Arabidopsis thaliana: one gene and its partner. The protein of the gene in region 1 interacts with the protein of each later gene in a pairwise test. Each region holds a gene or a part of one and is shown in the gene's direction. Other genes may lie near its edges.

Region 1 (7,730 bases):
AAGACAGATCATCTACTTCTATCACATTCTTGAGATCACTAGCAATATCTGAACCATAAATCACATGGCACTGCACATGAATAGAATCACAATCACGAACCTTCCTCTACCTAACTCAACATAAGCTAACTTCACAAAACAAACCTTAAGCGCCACAGGGAAAGCAACAATGTAACGCAAAAGCGCATCTCTGATGATCAATTCATCACCGGAGCCATGAACAGAAGAAATAACTAGCCTAGCTAAATCATTGGTTCCACTAATGATCTTAACCCAAGCTTTCCTTCCTTGTTCAAACCTTGAATAAGAAGCCTCAGTGCGAAACACTAGAAGCAGAGCTAAAGCCGGAGCCGTAAGCTGATACGGTAGAGGAGAAGCTCGAAGTACAGGGAAGAAATCAGGCAACCAGTCCAAATCCACGGCGGAGTTATAGCCGGCGATCAGGATCGCGACGGTGGTGAAGAAGAAAACAGGCGGAATCAAAGACAGTATAACGCGTGAAGATGGGCTCGAGGATACGTGACGGAGATGGCGAAGAGAGCTTCTGTGTCTGACCCAATTCTCGTGAGTGTAGAGAGATCGTTTCTGCTGCATCCGTCTCTCTTTGATACCGTCAGACCAGTTTGGGACAGCTTTAAGCAGCGAAATGAGCTTCTCGGATAGAGGTGAATCGTCGGATTTGGGGCCGGAGGAGACGCAGGAAGGATTGAATTTGAAATGTAGGGATTTGGGAGCTCTGGCGGAGATTCCGGAGTATAATCGTGGTTTGAGAAAGGATAGGTTGGTAAAGTTAGAAGAAAAAGATAGGTTCATTGACTGATACATTTTGGGCGGGAAAATCGAGGTTTAGGGTTAGGGATTTTGGTGGAGACGACGATGAAGAAGAAGAAGCAGAGACAACAATAAAGACACATGCAAAAATTGCAGAGTGCATAAGTAAAGAGAGACAAGTGTGACTTGGAGAAAGGTAGTTGGAACGAACAGTTGTGCGCTCGACAACGTTTCGGTTTCTAAGCTTTTATCTGGGCTTAAATGGGCTTATACTGAAACTTCTATTCTATCTTCTAAATGGGCTTATGTCTTATCTCAGCCCATTAAAGTTCCGTACCCTTTGAGGTCAGTTGAAATTTAGGGTTTATAGAGAACGCCTATCTGGTTGGAGAGGTGAAATTGGAACGGAAAAAATGTCGAAGAAGAACAATTTAGCCAAGAGAAAGAAGCAGCACGAGTACAATCTCCAAAGTAGGTTTCTTTAAATCTCTTTAAACGCTTTCAATTCAATACGCATGTGTTTCTCAACAAAACTTGGAATTTTTTCGATTTGCAGAAGAGAAAGAGTTACAGGACAAGAAGATCAAGAAGCTTCATGCCAACAAGAATAAGATGAAAGTAAGGACCTTTTCTGTCTCTCTTATCTCTTAATTCTGATATTTAGTTCATATACATTGGTGTTCGTTAAGTAGCAAACCGATTCTGTTGCAGAGAATGGTCTTTTCTAGCTATATATTACTCTAGTTGGTTACCAATGGTGAAATGATTGAATTCGCTTGGATTCAATTTGATTTCGATAGTGTTAGTCAGAAGCTTATGTGGGGTAAAAATAATAATATTGAATCTTCTTAGTAGAACATCTGACGAATAAGTTTGAGTTTTCCAAATCATTTAAATGAAGTCTAGAGTAGTTTATGATATCTGTGAGTTGGTTGATTTTGTTGTCTAGGTTGATGGAAGTGGGAAGAAGAAGAAAGGTGGATTTTCTGTTGGCAAGAAGAAATTAAAGACAAAACTGACTCCAACTGCTAAAGCTAAAGCTGCTCAGGCAATGGAGCTAGACAATTGACAAGGAACTTCGTTTTTTTTCACTTGTATGTAAAATTGTTCTTCATTGATCTTCGTCTTTACTTTGGAGAAATCATGTTGAAGCTAGCTTCTTCTTATAGGTTAAACTCTTATGTATCACTCTCTCTTTTGAATGCAAGATTTTGCTATCTAACCGGATCGGGATCATTGTGGAATGTAGCTATTGATGAAGTGAAATGTGTATGGTTCCTAATTGCTTCTAAAGTTCAAATTCAGCATAGATTCTGATTTCTCTGAGAAAAAGTCAACTTTTAGGTAAACAAAACAAAGACACAAGTATGTTTATAATTGGCATAAGACTTTCATGGTGCATTAGTCAGACCCAAGATCTTTTCTAGTTTATTAGTACATTCCAGTATTCCACTAAACATATTTTGAAGAAAAAAACTGTCTTTTAGAAAGTCAAATTATGTTTGTCATAATCAAAAGTCTTATACAAACAGTGTCACACATTACATGGTACATTTAAAGTTGAATCCTAATAGGAAAAAATCTCAAAGGCTTTGAGAGGTTATATCATCCCATCAATGGGTCCTTGCGAGATATTTTATAGATTTCTTCTGATCAGCCTCTCTCTCTCGTCAAAATAGTTCTCAAAGTGGAAGCCAGTGGGCAAGTCTCTGACCAGACAGGCCCAAATCTTTTCTCACTCTCCGGCGCGTGGCCTCCACTGTCTCTACAGATTCTTCCGTCTCAGATCAAATTCCGAAGAGATCAATCAGTCTATAGAAACAGTAGAGAGACTAGTAAGAAGTAGCATCAGCTTGAAAAGGAGGAATCTGTTCACCAAGATTTCTGGTTGAGAAGAAAGAAGAGTGACATGTTGGTGCACGCGCCTGAATAAAGAGTGTGGCCATAAGAGTCATGTGCCATACAGATGCCTAGTTGCTATATAGAGCTACAGTCAAAGTCAGTTTATTCATTAGGATTTTGAATTTCCAAATACATTTTCAGAAAAAAAAGAATTAAAAGATCCCATTGTTGTTATCCTCACAGTAAATGCTTTTGCTTGAGAGAGAGTCTGTTAGAGGTTTTTTGTTTGTTTCTGTTTCCTTCTGTCACCCAGAAAACTAAAAAGCAAACAAATTCAAGAAGAGAGAGAGAGAGAGATAGCCTCAAAACCAAGTCCTAACCATTGTTGATAGAAGAGAAAGCTTTTCTTTTCTTGTTGCTTATGGTGAAAGAATGAAAGAGAGAGAGGAGGAGAAGTAAGAAGCAGAGAAAGTGTTTAGAGCTTTGCATGTTCCTTTCTCTCCAAGTTTATATCTTCATCGTAAAGTCTCTCAACCTTTGATTCTGTTTTTTCCTCTTATCCATTTATCCTCTTTCTTTTTCTCTCTCTCCTCATAATTCTAGCCACAATCTTTTTAGGGTTTCACAAGTTCACTTAAAAAGTTGAAAAGAGTCTTTCTTCTTCAACTATTGTAAATGCGAAATGGATCGAAGAGATGCAATGGGATTATCCGGGTCAGGTTCTTACTATATCCATAGAGGATTATCCGGGTCGGGTCCTCCAACGTTTCATGGATCACCACAGCAACAGCAAGGTCTTCGTCACTTACCTAATCAAAACTCTCCATTCGGGTCAGGCTCCACTGGTTTCGGATCTCCTTCTTTACACGGTGATCCTTCTCTGGCAACAGCAGCCGGAGGAGCCGGAGCTCTTCCTCATCATATCGGCGTTAATATGATTGCTCCTCCTCCACCTCCCAGTGAAACTCCGATGAAACGAAAGAGAGGACGGCCTAGAAAATACGGTCAAGACGGCTCTGTTTCTTTGGCTCTGTCGTCTTCCTCTGTTTCGACCATTACTCCCAACAACTCTAACAAACGCGGCCGTGGTCGACCTCCGGGCTCCGGCAAGAAACAGAGAATGGCTTCCGTTGGTAATTAACTATCTATCTCTGAAACTTGCAATCTTGAAAAAAGAAAGCTCCATTATATATTGAATCAAGAACCAGGATTATTTTATGTTTTCTCAAGTCAAAATATCCAATTGTTTATTCCTAATGAGTGGGAACTTAAAACTTTCCTAAATTGGAACTAATTTTGTTGTCTTTCTTTGTATTATGCTCTGCTTAAACTCTTATGAATTAGACTCGCATTTATTGATTCAATGAGCCTGTTTTTTTTGTTCTTTTGAAATTGATTAGGTGAACTGATGCCTTCATCTTCTGGAATGAGCTTCACGCCACATGTTATCGCGGTTTCAATAGGAGAAGTAATGTTGAATCACTAACTATTTCAGAGCTTTCGTGAAATGTTTTTTATTTGCTGATTGCTGAAAAGCTTTGAAACTTTGCAACAGGATATTGCATCAAAGGTTATAGCTTTCTCTCAACAAGGTCCGAGAGCCATTTGCGTTTTATCTGCAAGTGGTGCAGTCTCTACTGCAACACTTATTCAACCATCAGCATCTCCCGGAGCCATTAAATACGAGGTTCAATTTTGAAATTTCTTACTATATAGAGAAACATTGGTGTTTTCACTGTTTTTCTTATAACATATGTTTTTGTATATTTCCAGGGCCGGTTTGAAATCCTAGCGTTATCAACATCTTATATAGTGGCAACTGATGGAAGCTTCCGTAACCGAACTGGAAACTTATCGGTTTCGCTTGCTAGCCCCGATGGGCGTGTGATTGGCGGTGCCATTGGTGGGCCTTTAATAGCTGCAAGTCCTGTTCAGGTTTGGTTTACACTTTTCTCTTGAGCTCTCATATTTCTTGGGATTGAATAAAGATTCTTGGGTCTATCAGGTTATTGTAGGGAGCTTTATATGGGCAGCTCCAAAGATCAAGAGCAAGAAACGAGAAGAAGAAGCTTCTGAAGTTGTTCAAGAAACTGATGATCACCACGTTCTGGACAATAATAACAACACGATTTCGCCTGTCCCTCAGCAGCAGCCAAACCAAAACCTGATTTGGTCAACAGGTTCAAGGCAAATGGATATGCGTCATGCTCATGCTGATATTGATTTAATGCGCGGTTGATGATAGCGAGAAAGAACTCTGTGTATATAAAGCATGGAATCTAGGAAGAAGAAGAAGGAATATAAGCTAACCTCTGAACAAAAGTATGTGGAAATGTTAGGGAAAAAGATTATGTGGAAATGTTAGGGAAAAAGATTAACTCTATTAGTGTACCTCTCATATCTCTAAGCTTGTTTGGTTTTACTGTTTCTGTGACTCTGAAGATTTGCAGAGTTCCTTTCTTTCTCTGTTTTAGATTGTTCAGTCTTTATGTAATTTGCTTGCAATTCTGATTCTACAGCTTAGATTCAGTACATTGTGTAGAAGTTTACATGGGAACCTGAAAATTGGGCATTTCATGGGCCTTCATATGATCCAATTTATTTTCATCAAATTTGTATTAGTACATAATTAATTTTGTTTTTTATAATAGCTCAATGTTTAAGAATCTTCTTCTGTTCCTGCCAATACTCATTAGTCCACTTCTCAACTTCTTTCTCAACACTTTCTTTCTTCTCAAGAAACTTTTTGAGCTCATCTTCTTCAAAAGGTGGAGGCATCTCACAAGTAGCCTTAACGCTCGGAGACATAACCAATGAGTCATCCATAGATTGTCTCATTCGGCCTCCATTGATTGGACAAGCCATTGTCTCCGGACACACTTCCTTGGCTCCTTGAGGCACTTCTACATTCATCTTCATCAACTTCCCATAGCTTTGCAGTAGATGCAACATGTAATCATACACATACTTCATCTTTAGATTCTTTCGCACATACCCACTTCCATTTCTCCCTATAGCTCTGGCCTATAAAACATGAGAAGATCATAGCAAAATGTTGTTGTTACAGTACTTCTCTTGCTAGTTTAAGAGATATTATTGAATCTTTTGTTACCAAATTGTTCTAGAAATCTAAACATCAAAGAAAAGATAGAGTTGTAACAAAACAAAAAAAATATTTTGTTTGAAGTTTCTAAAGACACAGGAGCGGTTATGTTGTTATATGATACCTTTTTGGTATTGTTGTTGCCCCAATGGACAGCAAAGACAATGTCACTACATTTTTCTTGAGGTCTTATGGGCCAATAATGCTCCATTGGAACTAAGCTTCTAGTGAAGAAGTCAAAGTAAAATGGCTTCACAAGAAGAGTCATGCTGTCACAAGCTAATATATACTTCTCACTCACTGACCAAGCCCTTCCTTCTACATAAATCTTGTACCTTCATTATACAAAAATAAAAATAAGCCCTTATTACTAATATTAAAATTTAATTCATCAAATAACTCGAGAACAGCAAAAAGATTCATATAAAACCTGTGGGTGCATTGATCTTCTAGGTTTGATGTCCTATACCCAATCCTGCCCTCTCTGCTCCAATCCTACAATTAACATTGTCATCAACTCATCAAGTTACTAGAATCTTCTAGATCATTATCATAAAAGAGATCACGGTAAAGAGATATAAATATAAAGAAACCTGGCGATAGAGATGAACCATAGGGTCATGACAATGCATGAGGTCTCTTCTGACCATGGCAACTCCAGGATTCCCCTTCCAATATGCGTAAGGCTCTCTCTCTTCCCACTTCACCTTCTTTATCCCTTCACTTATCAACTCCGACTGTTTATTCCACTCCTTTATGTTAATCTCCGGCCTAACCATAATTAGGGGTGTGAGCACATAGATATTCGAACCAAACTTTTAAAATCCAAACAAGAGTTTTCTTTATAACTGTATAACGGTTTTCGTATTTTTATACAGATTGATGGGTTTGTATGCAACCATAAATCGATTATAGTACCAGCCCCAAAAGCTCCAGTCAGGGAAGACAATGTCGAAAGCACCGGAATGTCCACAATAGTGGAAGAGTGGAGGAGGTGGCCACGTCACATTGACTCCTGGTCTTGGCCTATAGTCTCTTCTCCAGATTTCAGGTGAGTCATGGCACATGAAGAGAAGCTCAAGATCAGGGACTTGACCAGGATACATCCTTAGCAGCTGTACTATTCCCCATATAGTGAAAACATCTCTTGTCTGAAAAGATTTCTTGTATTGATGCACATACACTCTTCCTCCTTTTATTATCAGCCGGAAGTGAGCTTTATCACTTGCTCTCTCTAACGTCTCTCGAGTGATTCCAGTCTCACGCCATGCTTCAAGATCCTTGTGGATCCACCTGAAGTAGTCTGGACAAGTCTCTGGCTCGTCCTTACTAGGTTGTGATTTCTCCGGGTTGCTTGCAGGACACGTCTGGGTTGCTATGTTCTGGTCTAGTGAGCATTGCAATGTGAAGTTCAGTGGTGTAGTGAGTTTTTCCTTGGGGATAGTTGCGTTGGTGTTTCTTGTAAATATTGGTGTCACTTTGATTCTACCTCCACCGATTAAAAACTATGTAAGAAAGAACAATTTTTGAGGGAAACCCATTTGAGTTACTAATAGATTGTAATGAATAATTATGTATAGATATAGATATACCATGTCCATCCACCTGAGAGAAGCTCCAACGAGGATGATGAAGAAGAAGAAGACAAAGATGAAGATTGTGGTTGTGATCCATGGCTTGGTTAGTTTAGAACTTAAACTCGAGATTGAGTTATTAGGTTGCCTTTGATCATCAACCACGTGAGAACTCATAGATATTATGTGTTTAATTCAACCTAAGACAAAAAAAAATGAACGAGAGAGAGAGAAAGATAAGAGGATCACATTAGTTTTGTGACGGTAGAAGGAAAAGAGGATTACAGATATTGATTCATTTGTATCTAAGAATTGTAGTATGTTGGATGTGTAGACCCATGTTTTCTGAGGAAATTTTATGAAGAAAATAGATAATTAATGGTTGTTTCTTCAGAACCGAAGCAACCCACTTTAATAAGTTAAAACTATATATGGACTCT
Region 2 (9,767 bases), on another chromosome or scaffold:
TGACAAAGAGTTCAAGTAAGCAGATGTTTTACTGTTATGATTGCTAACAATGTTTTGTAACTTACTGACTTCTGTGTCCACTTTATGATTACAGTGTTATTGGATACACTTTACTTTTAAGTTTGATTGAGTACAAGACTCTTGTGATGCGTGGAGATTTGGAACAGGCTAATGAAGTCTTACCTTCAATTCCTAAGGAGCACCATAATAGGTATGAGAATGTGCTTTCCCTCGCATTATGGTTACAGCTGGATTATGGTGTTAGTAAACATGTATCCAAGGTCACATAATGGTTTAAATTGTTTTCCTAAATTCACGCATTCCTACTTTTCTGATTCTCGACTTCAAAATCCTGTTCGTTTTGTCAGCGTGGCACACTTTTTGGAGTCACGTGGCATGACAGAAGATGCTCTAGAAGTAGCAACTGATCCTGACTACAGATTTGAGTTGGCCATACAGCTCGGTAGATTGGCTGTCGCAAAGGTTAGTCTGTAGTTTTTACCATTTGAGAAGCTTTATTTCCATGACTTACCGATATGTTTTTACTCGATTCTTATTTTTTGACAGGACATTGCTGTAGAGGCACAAAATGAATCTAAATGGAAGCAACTTGGAGAATTAGCTATGTCAAGTGGGAAGGTGACCATTTTTTAGCTGCAATCAGTGTTCTAGGATTCTTACAAAGGTTAAAGCTAACATGTATTTTTCTTTTCATTTTCCTTCCCATGCTTGGACTACTTAGCTGGATATGGCTGAGGAATGCATGAGGCATGCTATGGATTTGAGTGGTCTGCTGCTGCTTTATTCTTCATTGGGAGATGCAGATGGAATGATGAAGCTGGCAGCACTTGCAAAAGAGCAAGGAAAGAACAATGTCGCTTTTCTTTGCTTGTTCATGTTGGGTCAAGTAGAAGACTGCCTGCATCTGTTGGTGGAAAGGTACATTGTTTACTATTTCTTACATGTGGAACATATATTCCCGCAACTAATTACGTCTATGCTGATATTAATATGGTTACAGTAATCGAATACCTGAAGCCGCTCTGATGGCGAGATCGTACCTTCCAAGCAAGGTCTCCGAAATAGTGGCATTGTGGAGAAACGATTTGACCAAGGTTAGTGGTAGACACATCCGATGCACCTTGTGATTGAATTTCAAACCTTGCCTGTTGAGATATCCACAATTTTTCTTCATCCTCTGTCAATCTGGATATAGATAAGTCCAAAGGCTGCTGAATCTCTGGCTGATCCCGAAGAGTATCCCAATCTCTTTGAGGAGTGGCAAGTCGCCCTGTCCCTTGAAAATAGAGCTGCAGAGACGAGGTATCTTTTCGTCGTTGCCGTCATTAGCTTATTCTTAAAAACAGTGCTTATGAGGAAACCTTTTTAATTGAATTGTGGGACTTAAGCCATTTAGAGTCATGTGTCTGTATTACATAGCAAGGTAGCCGTCATGTATTTGCTTATAATTTGAATTTATACCCGTATAAACATAAGCCGAATGTCGATTTCATTTTTTCAGGATCCTCATAAACAAAGTATTTTTGTTGACTTATCTTGCAGGGGCGTCCATCCTCCTGCTGGGGATTATTGTAGTCATGCAGACAGAGATCATACAACTTTAGTGGATGCTTTTAGAATTATGCAAATAGAGGAAGAGGGTCGACTTGAGCAAGGGGATGTTCTCGACGAGGTATGCATGTTTACATTACATGCATTGAAGAGGATTGTCTTTTACCCATGATATCCAATCCAATGGTCTTGGCCATGGTGGACAATGGTAGGATCATTAATTCTACTGTCGCTGCTTCATTTGTTGTGAACAGGTTGGGGAAGAGGGGGAAGATGGAGAGGAAGAGGAGGAGGAGGATCGTCAGGAAGAGAGTAGTGATGGGAGACAGCAGAATGTGGAAGAAGAGGCTGTTGTGGTGGACGCTGACTCTACGGATGGTGCTGTGCTAGTTAATGGTAACGAGTCTGAAGAACAGTGGGGTAAGATTAGTGAAGGAACCGCATCAGCCTTATAGCATTTGTGGTTATCAATTGATTATAAGATGTCGCTGCACCAAAATATCCTTTTGCCATCTGCACATATATCATAGGATTTGCGTTTGCATCTGTCCATCAATGTTTCCTCATCTGTCTGCCTCCCATCTTCGTCTTACTGATCATCTTACTTTTGATGTTGACTGTCTTTTAAATAGTGCTTCTCTATGCCATTAACTTTTTTATCAATCCGTGGACTGATTAAATATTTGTTTGTTGTACAGTTCTAACACCGCCACAAGAGTAGGGTTGGTGAAGAGTGAAGACATACACAGATAGATATTTTCTTGGCTTTGAAACTTGATACATTCAGCAGAGAAATGAGGCAGCACAGAGAGAGATTAGTTTCCATTGTTAAAAAACTGATCTATTGATAGCTTCCGCTTTGTGCTTTTAATACAGATACATATTAAAAAAAAAGGGGGTTTTGGGACTCTTATGTAGCTTTAACTTATGAGAGATTTCACCTGTAGAATATCTGTTTTGAACTGAGATTTCACCCATATAATATGTTTTGACTTTCGATTCAATAGGTTATGTAGTTGATATCTTTTTTTTTTTTGCAAAACTCAATAGCAGTAGCAAAAAACTTAATTGGAAATAATCAAAGTGAAGGGATAAGTTGGGAAAGAGCCAGAGGATAACGCATGGTGCATTATTATTAGTATTGTGGAGGAGACGCATCTCGAAACATCTCTCAAAGCAAACAAGGACCCAAAACAAAGTTCCTTGCATTCTTCCACTGTCCGTAATCACCATCACCATATCATTATTCTTCTACCCATTTTGTCTTGGAAATGATTTTAAATTTTCTTGTTGCTTCTTACTGCAAACTGTGTATAGGTTCAACTACTCCATTGAGTTACACACTTGCATGCACCTATGGAAGTTAATTTTCCGGTTTTGATTGATATTCAAGTTGTTGACCAATGGAGTTATATACCCTTGATTTATATAGAAACCACATGTTTTATTTATATTAACATGGTCACTTTTGTCAGGATTAATAGACAACAATAGTTGAGAGAAAAAGTGATAAGGTAGAGCTAATTTGTATTAAACTTATCAATTAGTATTGTTGGTTAAAAAAAAGTTAATAAAGTAGTCAAGTTGGATAATTCCCAAAAACTGGGAAAAAAGAACTCAAGCGTCAAATGTTGTAGGTGCATCATCATCAGTCTACAAGTAGTAAAAAACCCATTCGATTTGATAAGAAGACCCAACGGAAAGAGTCTTCCCGTCTACAAAGTAAACCCAATCAATCTTAATAATCTTTAAGAGGTTTTTTCTTATTATAATTATCTATCTCTCTATCTATCTATCTGCGGATCTCTCATGAAGAAACACTGAGGAGATTCTCTCGCTCTGATCTCCTGGTATCGTCGTCTCTCTCCGTAGAGATATACTAGTTTGTCCCATATCCGATTGATTGCTCTATTCAATTTATTCCTCTTCTAGGTTTTCGGTTTGGCCCTCCGATTTAGAGGGATTGATGGCCCCTGATGGCGTTGAAGACTCCGACTATGAGAGTGATCCCGACGAGTTGAACCGCTCCTTGGCTACACGGAGGAGAGAAGCCAGCGATGATGATGAGGATGATGAAGAAGCGGACGACCATGATAAGCTGCGAGCAGCAATCCAGATTCATTCCGATGAACACAGTGGTGTTGTTGTTGTCGACTCTGATGATAATGAAGGATTGCACATAGAAGATAGTTATGGTGATGATGACGACGAAGAGGAAGATGGTGATTATGGACAAGTTGATGACCATGTCGAATACATTGCGGATAATAATGACAAGACAATTGTCGCCGGCAATGGGACCGATGACTCTGCCGCCACTGATCTTGTGGATGGAGAGGAACAAAAGAAGAAGGAACCTTTTGCAGTGCCTACTGCTGGAGCTTTCTATATGCATGATGACAGATTTCAGGAATTGGATGCCGCCTCTAATAGGTAAACTCTTTTTGATTCTATGAGGAGGTAGTGTTTTGTCCAAACTATGCAAATGTATCTATCTACTATTGAGGTAGAGTACATTGATAGGTGAAATTAGCAAACGACTTTCCGTCATTCAATCTCATGATGTACTTCAGAGTTCAGATAGATTGGAACAACTGCTTTGGTTTTATGTTTTAACTTTGATTGTGAATCTTTATGTATGAATCTACCCGAGATGCCATCACACTGCTATTTTTCCATTTAACATTCTGTTTAGTTACATGGTAATGCCAACCGATATAGGTTTTCGTTTTTTATTTCTGTAGGCGAATGCGTGGTGGTAGGAGGCTCTGGCAATCCAGAGATGAAAGAAAGTGGGGACATGACAAATTCGAGGAAATGAATACACAGAAACAGCAATATGATGTACTTTTCTCTGATCATCTCTCTTTCTCTTTCTCTCCTTTTCATAAATATATTTGTATTCATCGACTTGTTTCCTCTTGCTGTGTTTATACATTTGCCACCTCTTTTTTCTTTTTCCTTTTTTTTTTCCTTTTGAAAGCTGATTAATTAAACTTGTGAACATAGAGGAGGACTTCGAGAGGCCGAGGCAGAGGTCGTGGTCAGGGTAGGGGTCAGGACCGTGGACAGTCTCGGGGGAACAATTCTAAAGAATTTACTGGCAATGGACACCAAAATCAGTTTCCGAAGGCTGTCACGAGAGGGAGGGGGGCCAGAAGATATGAGGTTGCATTGAGAAATGGGAATCAAGCACCTTCTGTGCAAACCAAACAGTGAGTCCTTAATTTTGTTTCCTCTCTAGTCAACACATGAAGGCTCTAGGTCTCTAATTGTTGTGTCTTTTTACGGAATCTTTAGGTCCCAAAATTCGTCTGTGGAAGTGTCACACGTTGATTTAGGGCGTCCACCAACAGAAACAGCTACCTTAGAGACTGAAGCCATCCAAGCCAAAAAGAATGTATTTGCTTCAAGTTTAAATTCAGCTTCTCCTCCATTTTATCCTTCAAGATCCAACAATAACTTGGCACAAAAGGATGTACAAGCTGGCATGGGTAGGCTGCACATTAATGAAAACCCTAATCCGACTGGAAAGAAGTTTGGGAATACAAAATCCAGCTCCTTGTGGGGACGCACTGCTCAGACTACAAGTCATGGTAGAGGTGTACCTCCTCATGGGCAAGTGCTTTACCAGCAATCTCCTAATCAAGGTGACAAAGTTTCTTCGCCGATGCAAATCCGTGGAATGCCTAAAGGCACTGACCAGAGCTGTACTCAACTTCCTGGTCAGGTTTTTAATCAACATTCGGCTGTTATCAGTTTGCTGCCTTCTTCTCCTCCAAAAACCGGATCATCAGAAAATCCGTATCTTTCTGGTGAAATAGAGTCAGCCGTAGAAACAGGTGCTTTGGTTGCCAAGGGAAAAGGGTCTCTCCAACCTAGTGGAAGGGGATCTTTTATGTATGGAGGGACACAGTTTATGGGCCCTGCCGGGATGGCAGCTGGTCACGGCAATCCAAATTTCCCTGCTTTTCTACCTGGTAAGTTGTTCTTGAATGTCATTGTTCATCCTACATTGTAATGGTTGAAAGACATCTTTCAGAATCAATCTATGCATGCTAGTGAAATTGAGAGCTATTGATGCTGAGCCGCTTGGCCTGGTTGCCCATGTCTAGGGCCGCTTGAGAACGGCACCTTTTTGTACAGGTGCTAATATGCACGCCTGACTAGTTTAAACTTGTTTGTTTTCATTTTCATGTTCAGTTATGCAATTCGGTGGTCAGCATGGTGGGGTTCCAACTTTTGGAATGGCTCTTCCAGGTTATTTCCAACCAGAACATGGTACCGGAAATCCTGAGATGACATGGTATGCAGTTCCACAGCTATGTTTTAAAAGTTATATATTTGGTGCATTCTTAGTTGACTTGCTGCATGCTTTTGTAATTTGAGAGGATGTTTAATCTTGTAACTAGTCTTTTACTAGCCCAAACAGAACCTGAATTATTGCTTTCACTCGTCTGCTGTTTGTTTTTTGTTTGATTTCCCTATTTCTCTATCTATAGTAGGTCCTTATTACTGCTATTATTTTCTTAAATTATTGACAGGCTGCCAATTTTGGCTGGCCCTGGAGCATTAGGGGGTTCATATTGTCCACCTTATACTGTCCTTGATGGTTCTTACCAAGCAGACAAACCAGGGTTACCTTCCTCTGCCGGATCGTCCAGGTTTAGAAATAATTTTCTCAGTATTGTTAATCAACATGTCATTTCCATATGCATATGTGTAGACTCTTTGCTTTTTACCTTAGAGGAAGAGTAGTATGGGAATGCAGCTTTAAGCCCTTAACTAAGTAACGTATGTGAGATTTTAGATTTGTGGTTCCTCTTATTCTAGACCCACTGCAAAATGCTTGTTACCTGTTAGATTTACATTTCTTAAGTGCTTAGATTAGTAGTTTCTCGACTATGTACACCCAGAAACATGTAGTTTTCATTAAACAGACTCACTTTCTTGGTTGGGCACTCATGTAACCATGTCAATCATCTCTGATTATGAGCGTCTAGTAAAGCATATAATTTGAGCTCAAGTACCCAATTACCTTATATTTTTGATTTTTTGTTGCAGCCAAGAGAACAGTTCCAATAATCCTAATGATGAAGAGCCCATGGAGAGACCTGGTAAGTAATAACTCTTGCCAATTAAATGGGGTTGTTATAATGGATTCAGAAGATTTTGTTGTGTTTTGGCGAATAAGAAATTTGAATGATTACATGGAGAGACTGATTCGTATGGGGGTTTATTGATGTAGAGGTTACGAACAATGGGAATTCTCAACGGTCAAATAGCAACCCAAACAAGCAGCCTCGTAGGTGAGTTTTGAAGCAATCTAGTTTATTTATCGGTCAGTGTTAGTGTGACGTGAAACCACCTTGAAATCAAAGTACCACAGGAGTAGTTGGATACAGATATTTGTGGAAATGAAATGTTAATATTGGTCCAGGATGAAATGAAACACTAACGAGCACATGTTGACGAGGGATGTGCAGATACTCGGAGATGAGCTTTAGCAAGTGAGTAAAGAAGAGTGGAAAGGAAGAAGGTCATCTAATTTGACTAAGTGGAGTGAAAGGAGGAGGGTGAGAGAGAAGAGCTCCTTAGGAGCAGCAGGCCCTTGGTGCTTCTCCAACTGCTTTATGAAGCCGTTTGGGCTGCTATTATTGTTACCTATTTTTATTAGGTACGCAATTTCTCTCAAGATACCAATTGAAGAGAGGTTTTAACCACATTATAATTTGAACTTGTGTTTGCTGTTTTGTTTTCAGGAGGTTGTTGTGCAATTGAAAAGAATTTTTGTTTTGTTTTCGTTGTTATGAGAGCTTGAGCTTGAGCCGTGGGCGTCCTTCATCTGTAATTTATTCTTTTGTCCGTTTGGGTTCAAATTGATATTTTGTAATGTTGATATGTGTTATTCTGTTTTCGTTTGTCAACTTCTTTATCAAAAGTTGTGTGCCCTATTCGTACGCCTGCGAAGTCCCCCCAAGAATTGCCCATGTTGAGTTTTGATGGTAGTTAGTTGTCTATGTTTTATATTTTACGCAAGGGGATAGTGGTGGTGCTCAGTCAAATTTACCCGATTCGTGAGAAATGAGTCATTGAGGAATTGTTACCATATATATAAAGACATGCCTCCGCTCTGGTTATTTAGTTATGCGACAAAAACAAAACAGACCGCATAGAATAGATGCAACAAACCAAGTGTATAGAAACTTTATTCCTTGGCGCAGCAAAAAAAAAAAAAGGGATAGAGTCTCCGTTGATTCAGGTAGCTCAGCGTCCTCTGAGATGAAACGATTGTTGTTGTTTGTTTGTTGATTTTAGTTTTTAGTTTAGTGGAAGATGATCGGTAATAGCGTCTACATCTCACCGTCACCGTCACCGTCCGACCACTCTCTCTCGCCCAACCCTAATCTCTGCATCTCGGCGGTTGGTTTCTACTGTCTTCCTTTCTCTCTCTCTATTTACTACAAATTTTGATTTCAATTTGGGTTTCCGATTTCGATTTCAATTTTGAATTTGATGGTCTTCAGATGGAAGAGCAGCTGGTTGTTGATGATGATGATGATGACCTTGCTCCTCCTCCAATCCCTGATCTCGATATTGACCTTGAAGATGATGATGACGCCTGTTGTCACGGCTTGCTTCATATCGCACCTAATCACGAAGAAGAAACTGGATGCGACGAAAACGCTTTTGCTAATGAAAAGTGTTTGATGGCTCCTCCTCCTACTCCTGGAATGGAGTTCGAGTCCTACGATGATGCTTACAGTTTCTACAACTCATACGCCCGTGAGCTCGGTTTTGCTATCCGCGTCAAGTCCTCCTGGACTAAGCGTAACAGCAAGGAGAAACGTGGTGCTGTCTTGTGTTGCAACTGCCAAGGTTTCAAGCTGCTTAAAGATGCTCACTCCCGGAGAAAGGAGACCCGCACCGGCTGCCAGGCCATGATTCGCCTTCGACTCATCCACTTTGATCGATGGAAAGTTGATCAAGTCAAACTCGACCACAACCACTCCTTTGATCCTCAACGTGCCCACAATTCCAAGTCTCACAAGAAATCCTCCTCCTCAGCTTCTCCTGCAACTAAGACAAATCCCGAACCACCTCCCCATGTCCAAGTCCGGACTATCAAATTGTATCGAACCCTTGCCCTTGACACACCACCCGCTCTTGGAACTTCACTCTCTAGCGGGGAGACCAGCGATCTCAGCCTTGATCACTTCCAATCTTCAAGGCGCTTGGAGCTCAGAGGGGGTTTCAGGGCCTTGCAGGATTTCTTCTTCCAAATTCAGCTTTCCAGCCCCAACTTTCTTTACCTCATGGACCTTGCCGACGACGGGAGTCTCAGGAATGTCTTTTGGATTGACGCTCGAGCTAGGGCTGCATACTCTCACTTTGGCGACGTTCTTCTGTTCGACACCACTTGTTTATCTAACGCATACGAGCTTCCCCTTGTGGCCTTTGTTGGAATTAACCACCATGGAGATACAATCTTGCTCGGCTGTGGTTTGCTTGCTGATCAGAGCTTTGAGACCTATGTCTGGCTCTTCAGAGCGTGGCTAACCTGCATGTTAGGCCGTCCCCCACAGATCTTTATCACGGAACAGTGCAAGGCAATGCGGACCGCTGTCTCTGAAGTTTTTCCAAGGGCTCATCATCGTCTTAGCTTGACCCACGTCCTGCACAACATCTGTCAGAGTGTTGTCCAACTACAAGATTCTGACTTGTTCCCTATGGCACTTAACAGAGTAGTCTACGGTTGTCTCAAGGTCGAAGAATTTGAAACAGCTTGGGAAGAGATGATCATTCGCTTTGGGATGACAAATAACGAGACCATCAGGGACATGTTTCAAGATCGAGAACTCTGGGCTCCAGTTTACCTCAAGGATACATTTTTGGCCGGGGCGCTGACTTTTCCACTGGGAAATGTGGCAGCCCCGTTCATCTTCAGTGGCTATGTTCATGAGAACACATCCCTGAGAGAATTCCTTGAAGGGTACGAATCTTTTCTGGATAAAAAGTACACAAGAGAAGCCTTGTGCGACTCAGAGTCCTTAAAGTTGATCCCCAAGCTCAAAACAACGCACCCCTACGAGTCCCAGATGGCAAAGGTCTTCACAATGGAGATATTTAGAAGGTTCCAAGACGAGGTCTCAGCAATGTCTTCATGTTTTGGAGTAACGCAAGTCCACTCAAAC

Evidence for each region.
Region 2: the proteins of AT2G45850 (region 1) and AT1G80000 interact in a two-hybrid assay, tested with the Arabidopsis thaliana proteins (one large-scale study listed by BioGRID).

Annotation. Positions count from the first base shown.
Region 1 is NC_003071.7:18,869,023-18,876,752, reverse strand, and holds AT2G45850 (AT hook motif DNA-binding family protein), read left to right. Parts: upstream 1-2,780; 5' UTR 2,781-3,133; exon of another isoform or gene 3,134-3,231; 5' UTR 3,232-3,295; coding exon 3,296-3,746; intron 3,747-4,013; coding exon 4,014-4,081; intron 4,082-4,168; coding exon 4,169-4,300; intron 4,301-4,386; coding exon 4,387-4,548; coding exon of another isoform or gene 4,549-4,572; exon of another isoform or gene 4,573-4,618; coding exon 4,619-4,852; 3' UTR 4,853-5,265; downstream 5,266-7,730. Other genes in the region: AT2G45870 (Bestrophin-like protein), read right to left, coding at 1-70, 145-825; AT2G45860 (uncharacterized protein), read left to right, coding at 1,185-1,242, 1,328-1,389, 1,721-1,840; AT2G45840 (O-glucosyltransferase rumi-like protein (DUF821)), read right to left, coding at 5,266-5,637, 5,841-6,051, 6,147-6,211, 6,310-6,487, 6,635-7,221, 7,309-7,467. UniProt on the Arabidopsis thaliana protein: Transcription factor that specifically binds AT-rich DNA sequences related to the nuclear matrix attachment regions (MARs).
Region 2 is NC_003070.9:30,089,657-30,099,423, forward strand, and holds AT1G80000 (CASC3/Barentsz eIF4AIII binding protein), read left to right. Parts: upstream 1-3,150; 5' UTR 3,151-3,538; coding exon 3,539-4,005; intron 4,006-4,316; coding exon 4,317-4,416; intron 4,417-4,581; coding exon 4,582-4,787; intron 4,788-4,872; coding exon 4,873-5,552; intron 5,553-5,775; coding exon 5,776-5,878; intron 5,879-6,116; coding exon 6,117-6,236; intron 6,237-6,636; coding exon 6,637-6,689; intron 6,690-6,820; coding exon 6,821-6,881; intron 6,882-7,012; coding exon of another isoform or gene 7,013-7,022; exon of another isoform or gene 7,023-7,058; coding exon 7,059-7,086; 3' UTR 7,087-7,249; intron 7,250-7,334; 3' UTR 7,335-7,667; downstream 7,668-9,767. Other genes in the region: AT1G79990 (coatomer subunit beta-2), read left to right, coding at 1-15, 95-211, 369-483, 568-639, 743-939, 1,022-1,115, 1,217-1,323, 1,564-1,693 and 2 more; FRS8 (FAR1-related sequence 8), read left to right, coding at 7,909-7,995, 8,100-9,767. UniProt on the Arabidopsis thaliana protein: Core component of the splicing-dependent multiprotein exon junction complex (EJC) deposited at splice junctions on mRNAs.